Rattus norvegicus: one gene and its partners. The protein of the gene in region 1 purifies or fractionates together with the protein of each later gene. This does not show direct contact. Links are inferred from orthologs where the notes say so. Each region holds a gene or a part of one and is shown on either strand. Other genes may lie near its edges.

Region 1 (2,753 bases):
AGACACCAACCAGATCCCATTACAGATGATTGTGAGCCACCATGTGGTTGCTGGAAATTGAACTCAGGACCTCTGGAAGAGCAGTCAATGCTCTTAACTACTGAGCCACCTCTCCAGTCCCCCAAAATAAAAATTTCAATGAAAATGAAAAGCATTAAGGGCCTTTCCACAGGTATACTTCGTCATTCCTTTTTAAAAGTTTTATTTGCATTTATTTATTTATTTATTTATTTATTTATTTATTTTTTTGGTTCTTTTTTTCGGAGCTGGGGACCGAACCTAGGGCCTTGCGCTTCCTAGGCAAGCGCTCTACCACTGAGCTAAATCCCCAACCCCGCGCTTATTTTTAAAAACTAATTTCTTTTATAAAAATTTAGGTTTTCCTGTATGTCTGTACACAATGTGTATGTCTGGCACCTCTAGCGCTGGAGTTTCTGGTGACTGAGTTACCATGTAGGGGCTGGAAACCCAACGAGGTCCTCTGCGAGAGCAGAGCTGTCAGCCGTCTCCAGATCCAGTTTACATTTATTTAACTCCTGTGGCACGATTTTTGTTTCTTCAGGTTTTTGTTGTGTTGTTTTGTTTTCAGACAGGGTTTCTCTGTGTATGCCTAGCAGCCCTGGAACTCACTGTGTAAACCAGAATGGCCTTGAACTCATAGAGATCTGCCTGCCTCTGATCCCTGAGCGCTGGGGCTAACGGTGTGCGCCACCACCGCCCGGCTCTTTCTTTGGGATACCTTTTCTTCTGTGCAGACTCCTCTTTTGGCTAGGAACAGTTTGTTCCTCTTCAGTGAGCATCATCTTACTGAGGCAGGGGGAACTCATGGGTTAGTCCACCATGAACTCTGTAAGTTCAACAGTGTTCCTTTGGGGGTTGGGGATTTAGCTCAGTGGTAGAGCGCTTGCCTAGGAAGCGCAAGGCCCTGGGTTCGGTCCCCAGCTCCGAAAAAAAGAAAAGAAAAGAAAAAAAAAAAAAAAAACAGTGTTCTTTTGCTTCGTGAATAGAGAGAATCTATACCCAAACCCTGTAAATTCATCAAAACCAGCACTCTGGGGGCCACTGGCTGACTGTCTGGCCTGGTGAAAATCTCCCAACTCCACCCTTATAGACCTCTGGAACAGCACTCTGCTTCTTTAAAGTGGCATTTTTCAGATACACATGCATGCCCTCACAGCCTAGGCTGCACCACAGGAATTCAAGATTTGAACCTCTTTTAGTCCTGGCTATTCTGGAACTCTGTAATGGTTCCTGTCTACCTGGAGAGTACTGAGATTAAAGGTGGGTGCCACCAGGGCAGGCATGATTTGGACCTCTTGATTTGCATATTGTGGGGTTTTCTGGGTCAAGAGAGCACATCATCATCACTTACAGGAGCCTTCTTTCCTCATTCTTGTGAGCCGGAAGCCACTCAAAATAATGCAAGCTCCACCAAAGGGGTGCTCGCTCTCTCAACCCCCCCACCCCCCCACCCCACCCCCCACACACTCAGACAGTACCTACTAATAAGGTAACTTGTTCTGTTGCACTAAAGCATTCTCCACCTTAGAGGTGTACCTGATGGCCTGGCCTGGCTTTGCCTTGCCCATCTGAGATTTGAGAGTGGCAGGCTGTGCCCTTGGAGGATAAAGGCTGAACACAGGGGAGCTCCTGGGTTTCTCCTGTACCTTACCCCCTCCGTCCAACACATTGGTATTTCTGGTATCTGTGTCCTTTTATCCAGTTCCATGATATATGTATCCTTGAGCCTACTGGGATCTCTGGCTTGATGATCAAAGTCCTGGCATTCAGTAGCCTCCAGAGATCCATGGGCCCATGGTACAGATATATTGATTGAGTCCTTTTTATGATGGGACAAACCCAAACGTAGACTCTGAGGTACAACATGAGCACTATGCCTCCTGTGGGTGTGCAAGTTAAACCTACGTCCTCTCACCCCCACAGGCTGCTCCATTCAGGGGCCCCTGAACTCTGACCTCTGGGACAAGATCCTCTCGCAGTTGCAGGAGCTGCAGTTGTGCAGCAAAGACCTGACCACAAAAGACCGAGACACCCTGTGTCAGAGACTGCCGGCGGGTGCGTGCACACTGAACCAAGGTTCCAAGCTCTTCTTTAAATGCCTCTGACCCTGGCCCTGCCGTTTCTGCCAAAAAAAAAAAAAAGAAAAAAAAAAACCTTAATAAATTATGCTGCTATCTCATTCCTGTGGCTGACTACAAAAAGGGTGGGCGATGTGAGGCTTAAAAGCCTTGAGGGGCTGGGTTGGGGATTTGGCTCAGTGGTAGAGCGCTTGCCTAGCAAGCGCAAGGCCCTGGGTTCGGTCCCCAGCTCCGGGCGGGGGGGAAGCCTTGAGGGGCGGAGCTACTCCAGAGCGCAAGCTCAGGCAAAGAAGTTGAGTGCCGACCTACGGATTGGGCTTGCTATGTGCGTAGGCTCAAGTTGGAGAATGAGCGCCGAGCTGCCGATCGGGTTTCCCGGCAGGCGCAGGCGGAAAAAGCGAGCACCGAGCTTCTGTCGCCATCTCCGGGACTCCAAACGCCCCAGGTACACAGCGGCAGTGGGCGGGTCCCCTCCTCGTGGGAACCCTTGGGCTAGGTGTCTCGGTCCCTTCTCCTTTAGGGCTCTGCGGCCCTTGCCGCGCGGCCAGTGTCTCAGGCGATGGGCGCTGTCAGGTGGCTTTTCTGGTTCACAGCTCAGGTTCCCCTGACTGAGGGTACCCACCTTTCTTCTGTGACTCTGCCGGCTGTTCCTAG
Region 2 (3,752 bases), on another chromosome or scaffold:
GAGGAGTCAAACACTGCAGCTCCCGGAAGATGCAGATGGCATCTCCAGTGGCCTGGATCACATCTGCCTTTGACAGGACATTCTGGGCAAAGGCCTATGAACACACATGGGTATTCAAACAGCCAGCCTCTGCTCCCAGGCGAGCCGGCCAAAGTATACTCGGCAATGTCCAGCAGCCCAATATACAGAAGCCTTACCTCCACAGGGTCCACTCCATCTTCCTGCGTGGGAGGGACATAGAAGCGCACCTCCATGAGAGATACTTCAGCATCATCGTTCTGGTGGAATTCCAGGGTCACCTCATTCTTGCCTGTTGTACACTGGGACACATTGCTTAGGGGTATCTCAAAGACTGGTTGATCACCAATGTCAAAAGAAAGCAGCTGCCCTGTGAGGAAAGAGCTTGTCAAATCGCAAGCTCCTCCCCAAGAGTCGACAGAAGCAGTCCCACCAAGACAGAGGACTGGAGGAACTACCAAAGCCAGGCACAGTGTCTGGTGGACCGTGCATGCTGGACAAATCCATGCTAAACACACAGACTGAAATTAAGAAATTAGAGCCAAGGAAAGAGTAAAGAAAGGTACTGTCTGAGGCCCTTCTTCACCCCACCTTCTCCCCAAAGCTCAATCTCCCTCACTCACCACCAAATTTCACTGTCCCCCAGTTCCAGCCCTTCACACAGAGATCCTTCTCCATCAGCTCAAGGCGATAGTGGGTTTTGAAAAAGTCAGAGAGCTTCTCAAATTCCTGTAAATCAAAAGGAGAAAGTGCGGTCCCAGTTAAACCTCTGGGCCTTAACACAAATGTCCTGAGATTCTGTAGCTCAGTTCACCAATGTGTCTTCCTCAGAAACTACAGCTAACTAAGTATACCGACTCTGAAAACATTTTAAAACACTTTTACTTTGTTACTAGAGGCAGTTTCTAGAACCCAGATGCTCTCAGCCCTACTCTCAGGGATGTCCTTCTTTCAAGCCTTTTCTCTTAACCTTTATGCTTAAAACCCTTTAAGTGCTAGAGACCTGATGGCCTAGCAGTTAAGGGAACTTTTTCTGATATAAGACCTTGGAGTCATTCTCAGCACCCCACAGTGGTTCACAACTGTCTGTAACTCTAGTTCCAGTTGATCCAATGCCTTCCTCTGAGCTCTGCGGACACCAGGCATGCACATGGTGCACAGGTTTGCATGCTAGCAAAGCCTCATGCACATAAAATAAATAATTTTTAATGAATGAAAAATTTTTTTAACAACAGCAACAACAAAAACCTTTTGTTTCTGGGGTCTCTGGCTAAGTGTAGTAAAGAAAGTTAAATTCCCAGATACGTGTATGACCTTACTGAGTTTCTAAACTTTGTATAGGTGATCTTTTGATAAAAGTGGATATTAAAACCAAGTAACTCAAAAGCAGCTCAAAATGGAAAAGCAAAATCCTAGAGCACCAAGCTAGAATTTCTGAACCAGGACAGAAGGAGCAAGTGGAAACCACCACCTAAATTAAGGTGGTAAAAAACCTTCTGGAGTCTAGGCACAAGACACGGGTACTGAATATAGAAAACACTGGTTTTCTTGTTCAATAGTCTCCAACCGCCCTGCTCTGAGGAACCCAAATGAACAATGACATGATTATCAGAGGAACAGAAACTGTCTCTAGAAGATTAAAATAAACAAGACAAGGCAGTCACAAAGAGAGGGGGTCACAGAACAAGACTGCTCACCGATTCACGGAAGCCATCATACTTGTAGACATGCCCATTCTTTGTGAGCAGTTTAAGTCCATGGCCTAATGCTACCCGACGCCAGATGCCTTCGGTCAACTCCCCGGCCTGGATGTTGTCCACTTTGCCCGTCTTGCTGTTCTTAAAGATGATACCCTGACGGCTCAATCGAAGCCTCCCATCATTCTGCCCAAAATACAGACCCAAAATCAGAACAGGATACACACGAAGCGGGTCCTTTCAACCCCTTATCCATACAATAATACAGGCTGGCCATTTTATCAATAAAAAGGCAACAGGTTGTGGTGAAATCAAGTCAAAAGACACAAGAGACATTAAGATTTTCAGTCTTGAAAGCTTGGCTCTAGTGTCAGAAACCCTGTAAGGGCTCCAGTTCCCGGTTTTTTAACACAGGGATTTAGGATAGAACTACACATGCAATCTCTTCAAACTCAGTATCATGTAACTCTTGAGACTTTGCGGATGTTTTCGCTTGGCGGACACTGATACACTGTTTCTAAAAGAGTAGTCAGAGTTAAGCTTTTTGTTAATAAAACAAGAACTCTTTCCCATCTCTGCCTTTATTAAAAGCCCAAGTCATTCTCACCATGGACCCTTTCACCTCCTGGAAGATGTCGTTGAACTCCAATGTCTCTGCCATGTTCACCTGCCCGTGGTGTTCTGAGCACACAGCCCTAAGCTGCACCAGAGAAAAACGAACCCTTATCTGGATGCTGGGTCCCAATTCCTGGTTAGGTGTGTAGAGATGTTCAGCAGGGTGTGAATCTGAATTCGGGAAGGAGACTGATAAGCAAGAAACGACACCTTACTCCGATCACCCATGAGTAGCTGTGCCTGGAATATCTCAAGTTCTCTACTGCCTGGGAATCTTACTGACCGGCTCTGCAGCGCTCCTGAGGCCAAGGCCCAGGACCCTAGGTGCAGAGCCAGGCCTATAGTGGCACTTACATCTCAACCCGACACCCTCTCGGTACGTTCCACCGACAGGCACCGCAACAATCGGCGGAACCTGGGACCGGCTCAGAGAGCGCACCTCAACTCCGCTCAGAGGGTAGTGTCCTGATCGCAGCGATCCCACCACCCCGAGGCCCCCGTGAATCTACGTTTCTCCCCCTTCTTTTAAAATGGATTCGCCCACTGCCCGCGAATTTGAACGCGGATCGATCCATCCCAATCGTCCCGCGGGGGAGCAGGGCCCATGCACACCCGGAGCCCGGGAATCGCGACCACCCACCTCTTCGAACTGCAGCCTCGCGACGACACAGTGAGGGCGGTGGGCGCAGGGGGACGCAGGGGAGGGGATAGGGATACGGGGGAGGGGGTGCCGGGGAACCTTTTCCCGCGTGCGCGGTTCCGCGTCCCGCCACCGGAAGTCGCGCACAAACCATAGAGAGGAAGACCTGGCTAGAAAGGCACCATCCGGGCCGACCAACGGGACTGTCGCCTAGAGCGTCGGTGCCCCTGGTCGTCTAAAGCGAGGGTCTTGCTACGGGATCCCACGAGGCTGATTTCTTGATTAGAAAACGGGATCGCTTCTTAGAAAGTTACAGGCTGCTCTTCAAAGACTAGATTCCGAGGGGAAATTATGCGGTTTCAGGTTTGTATGTTTGTTGGAATCATGCAGGTTCCTCCCTCCTGTGAATAATCTGGGAAGGAGTCTGTTGAACCAAAAAATAAATAAATAAATAAGTAAATAAGTAAATAAAAAATAAAAATACAGAGCTGTGGCCAGAAATGTCGCCTCCGCTAGCTGCAAAGGGAATGCGGGTGTCGGTGATTGTGCTTGCTTTCCAGCTGTACCCTGGCAAGCAGATGAGATCCTTTCTGAAATGAGTTCACCTTCCACCCCCAACACCATCCCATCCATATCCCTAATTTGTGGGTTCTCAGGAAGAGCCCAGCAGATGGCTGCATTAAGTTCAAGTGGTGGTGTCAGATTTACCTTTGAGCTAGAACTTACTTGAAATCACATCAGCCTGCGTTGGCAGAAGCCTGGATGGCCTCACATAGCACCAG
Region 3 (3,652 bases), on another chromosome or scaffold:
TGGGATGGAACCCAGGAATCATGAATGCTAGATTGGTATTCTACCTCTGGGCTATGCCTCCAGCCCCGGGTTGTTTTTCTAATATTTTCTATCTAGTTGGTTGAGTTTATGGTTATATAACCTACAGGTGCTAAAAGCTGAGTATATTCTGAAGTGAAATCTTTAGTTTCTCTCTGTTCAAAATACTGCATTCCAGTGTGAGGAAATGGCTCAGGAAGGACCTGAGTTTGAATGTTCAACACTCAGGTACAAGCAGGGGATTGCAAAAGGTATAGATGAATGGATCCCAAGGGTGCACTGGCTACCAATCTCACCAACCAAATAAGCTCCGGATTCAGTGAGAGACACACATGGGTGCACTCTTGTAATTCCAATACTTGGAAGGCTTGCAGGTATGTTAAAGTCCTGGACTAGCCTACATTACAAAGGAAGACTGTATTAGTTGTTCCTGTGTTTTTACATATGTGTATGTATGTGCTAGTGCTTGCAGAGGTCAGAGAACAGCCTGCTGGAATTGGCTCTCCTTCCACCATATGTATTTTGGAGATTGAGCTAGGTCTTTATATTTTGTGCCTTAACCCTCAGAGCCATTTCTCAAACCCAACTCTGTCATTTTTTTTAAAGTTATGTCTCACAAGCTGAGATTAAAGATATATCCAGTGCAATTCTGTCTTTTAAAGGAAGAAACTATGAGAAAAACTTAAAATTTAAAATTATTGCACCTTATTTCACCATCTATTTCTATAGATTTGATCAGCTCTGACTGTAGCCAGTCCGTATTTTATGTGGTCTTTTGTGAATTCTCTGGTCTGTTTCAGGCCCATGTCAAGACGGGGCTCACCATCTGCTGGCTTCTAGTGTACACTACAGTGTTTTAAAAGGTTTTGCCAAAGGTATTGACCTAGACTAAGCAATGTTGGGTGCCTTGGGGACACAGGGAATATTCTGTGTCAAACTCTTTTTTGCCTGGCATTCCCTCCAACACATTGATTAAGTGTACAAATATGTGACACCATGGGGCTTGGGGGAAGGGCCCTGAGGAAAGTAAAGCTTGACAGAGTCATCTCAGCAAGTGAGATCAAGCAAGAGTCACATACTTCTCTGTCCTTCCAGAATCACTGATTCTAGAGTGTCAGTTTTTATACAACTAGATCCATGGGTCTGGGAGCACGGCTCAGATGTACAGCACTTTTTTGGCATGCGCCCTAAGTTCCATCACCAGCACTCCTCAGAAATAAACAGCTGGGGACAGCTAGAAAGAGTGCTCTACAGTTAGACCACTGATTACTCTCCCAAAGAACCCAGGTTTAGTTCCCAGCACCCACATAGTTGTTAACTACTTCTATCTTAATGGGGCAACGCATCTTTTTTTTTTTTTTTTTTTGTAAGATTTATTTATTTCATGTATGTGAATACACTGTAGCTGTCCTCAGACACACCAGAAGAGGGCATCGGATCCCATTACAGATGGTTGTGAGCCACCATGTGGATGCTGGGAATTGAACTCAGGACCTCTGGAAAAGCAGTCAGTGCTCTTAACCACTGAGCCGTCTCCAATGCACTTTTCATCCAGGGAATTTGAAATTTCAATTTGGGTTATAAGTAAGTTCTTACCCCTCGTTGGTTTGCCAAATGTTGTGGTAAATATTATTTTGGGGATTTCTATCTGACTTAGATCATAGTTTTCAAATAAAAGACAAAATCCTTTACATTTATAATAAGCTTTAAGGGCTGGAGAGATGGCTTAGTGGTTAAGGGCACCGACTGCTCTTCCCGAGGTCCTGAGTTCAAATCCCAGCGACCACATGGTGGCTCACAACCATCTGTAATGAGATCTGATGCCCTCTTCTGGTGTGTCTGAAGACAGCTACAGTGTACTCATATATATAATAAATAAATAAAATATTATAATAAGCTTTAAACTGTTAGAGCTAGGCAGATATCAACCTTTTATGTTTTGTCTACTTCGCTGTTAATAACTGAGAACTTGCCATGTTCTGCCTGGGTCACTCCTACTCCAATAGGCAGGCAGCCCTCATGGTCATGCACTCGTGATCCACCTACCTCATGATAACTTATTTCTTCTCTCACTGTGGTGCCTGCCTGATACCCCAGTCCCAGGACCTGAAGCCCCGCCTACTTCTCTTCTGCTCTACATACTCTAGGCATCTTTACTAACCAATCAGGGATATCTTGGGGAACAAGGTTTACACAACAAAGGCTGGTTGGTATAAGTGAAGGCTTGTCGTGGAGCAGCCAGATCTTGGATACAGGAGTTAGCATTTGAATACAATTAGCACTAGACCAACCCACTACAGTACCTCTAGTTCCAGAGACCCAACACCATCTTCTGGCCGCTGAGCCCAGGCACCAAAGGGTGCAAAGACAGACATGCAGGCAAACACCCCATGCACATAAAATAAAAGGGGATGCACATAAGAAAATAAAGCTTAAAAAATGAAATACCTAATAATTTCCCCAAAATGCTGAGGCTGGAGTTTGAACCTGGTGAACCGTGGGCATGGGGTCACCAGAAAGATCTGGGTGAACGTGTGAAGGAACAAGGGAATAGATGTATAAAGGAGAGCTTTATGATCCAGGTGACAAACTCCACATATGATCTGTGTGCTTCCAGTGTGTTGGATGCCTGCACCACACTGGACCAAGAGCAGGCAGCTTCCAAGAGTTCTCTGAAAATCTCAGCTTGTGCAACTTTTCCCAGCTGCTGGAGCTAGGGGTTGTGTAATTTCAAAGAGCCTAAAATAAGTTCTGGGTCTGATGCCAAGCTTCTCTGTACTAGCATGACCTTGCTCCTGGTAATACTTGGCCCCCCTACAAGAGGCTATGAGTACCAGGGCTCTCCTAAGATCAGTGGGAAGGGTCTCCAGGTACTTTTTCTTTCATCTCTTGTGGGTATACTCCAGGACCAAGCCCCCTTAGTGATGGAGTACAGAGTCAGGTTTGGAGGGATGCCTTATCACACACCATTTGCTGGCAGAGCCTCTGTCCCACAATGTGCACAAGTAGGCATGAGTCGGTGCCAGATGTGGACAAGTTTGGGACAAGTTGGTTCCCCCCGCAGCTTTGCCTTTCTCCTCCTGCCACCTGGCTGTCCTGCTGGATTGGAATCTGCCACCCTGCCCCAGTTATCGAGGGATCTGCTCTACTAGGGTGGCACCAACCCTTCTGTGAAAGAGGATGGCACTTCCTACCCAGAGACCAGGGCAGCCTAACTCCCTGCTGTTCCCTCACAAGCCTTGTCACAGGACTCTTGGATCAGTCTCTGCTCTATGCTTCCTCTCAGCTACTGAGAGGCCTAAGTTTCCCTGGAGGGCCAGAGTCAAGGTCACTTGGCAGAATTAGGAAAAAAATGTCTCCATTAAAGTGGATCTTCATTTTGCTCTAATTCAGGACTGTGGTGCCAGGGCCTATTGCCCAGCAGTTATAGGACCTTCTAGTATATTCAGATTCACCTGATGCTGACAAAAAGACCTTGCTCTCAGCAGTGTCAGTCCTCAACTCCCTTATCCCCCATGTTCTTGCAGACCTTGAGTGGAAGATCATTTATGTGGGCTCAGCTGAGAGCGAGGAGTTTGATCAGATCCTAGACTCAGTGCTGGTGGGCCCTGTTCCTGCAGGAAGGCATATGTTC

Evidence for each region.
Region 2: the proteins of Tonsl (region 1) and Ssrp1 purify together in Homo sapiens (affinity purification with mass spectrometry; 5 studies listed by BioGRID and IntAct, counting the BioPlex papers as one, with this or other methods). This does not show direct contact. The link is inferred for Rattus norvegicus from reciprocal best matches to the Homo sapiens genes TONSL and SSRP1.
Region 3: the proteins of Tonsl (region 1) and Asf1b purify together in Homo sapiens (affinity purification with mass spectrometry; 5 studies listed by BioGRID and IntAct, counting the BioPlex papers as one, with this or other methods). This does not show direct contact. The link is inferred for Rattus norvegicus from reciprocal best matches to the Homo sapiens genes TONSL and ASF1B.

The regions. Positions count from the first base shown.
Region 1 is NC_086025.1:110,226,144-110,228,896, reverse strand, and holds the end of Tonsl (tonsoku-like protein), read left to right. Parts: coding exon of another isoform or gene 1-61; exon of another isoform or gene 62-151; intron 152-1,944; coding exon 1,945-2,126; 3' UTR 2,127-2,201; downstream 2,202-2,753. UniProt on the Homo sapiens protein: Component of the MMS22L-TONSL complex, a complex that promotes homologous recombination-mediated repair of double-strand breaks (DSBs) at stalled or collapsed replication forks.
Region 2 is NC_086021.1:90,530,400-90,534,151, reverse strand, and holds the start of Ssrp1 (FACT complex subunit SSRP1), read right to left. Parts: upstream 2,670-3,752; 5' UTR 2,502-2,669; coding exon of another isoform or gene 2,377-2,501; coding exon 2,323-2,376; intron 1,902-2,322; coding exon 1,716-1,901; intron 748-1,715; coding exon 642-747; intron 389-641; coding exon 198-388; intron 95-197; coding exon 1-94. Other genes in the region: P2rx3 (P2X purinoceptor 3), read left to right, coding at 3,322-3,333. UniProt on the Homo sapiens protein: Component of the FACT complex, a general chromatin factor that acts to reorganize nucleosomes. The FACT complex is involved in multiple processes that require DNA as a template such as mRNA elongation, DNA replication and DNA repair.
Region 3 is NC_086037.1:41,090,346-41,093,997, reverse strand, and holds part of Asf1b (histone chaperone ASF1B), read left to right. Parts: intron 1-3,545; coding exon 3,546-3,652. UniProt on the Homo sapiens protein: Histone chaperone that facilitates histone deposition and histone exchange and removal during nucleosome assembly and disassembly. Cooperates with chromatin assembly factor 1 (CAF-1) to promote replication-dependent chromatin assembly.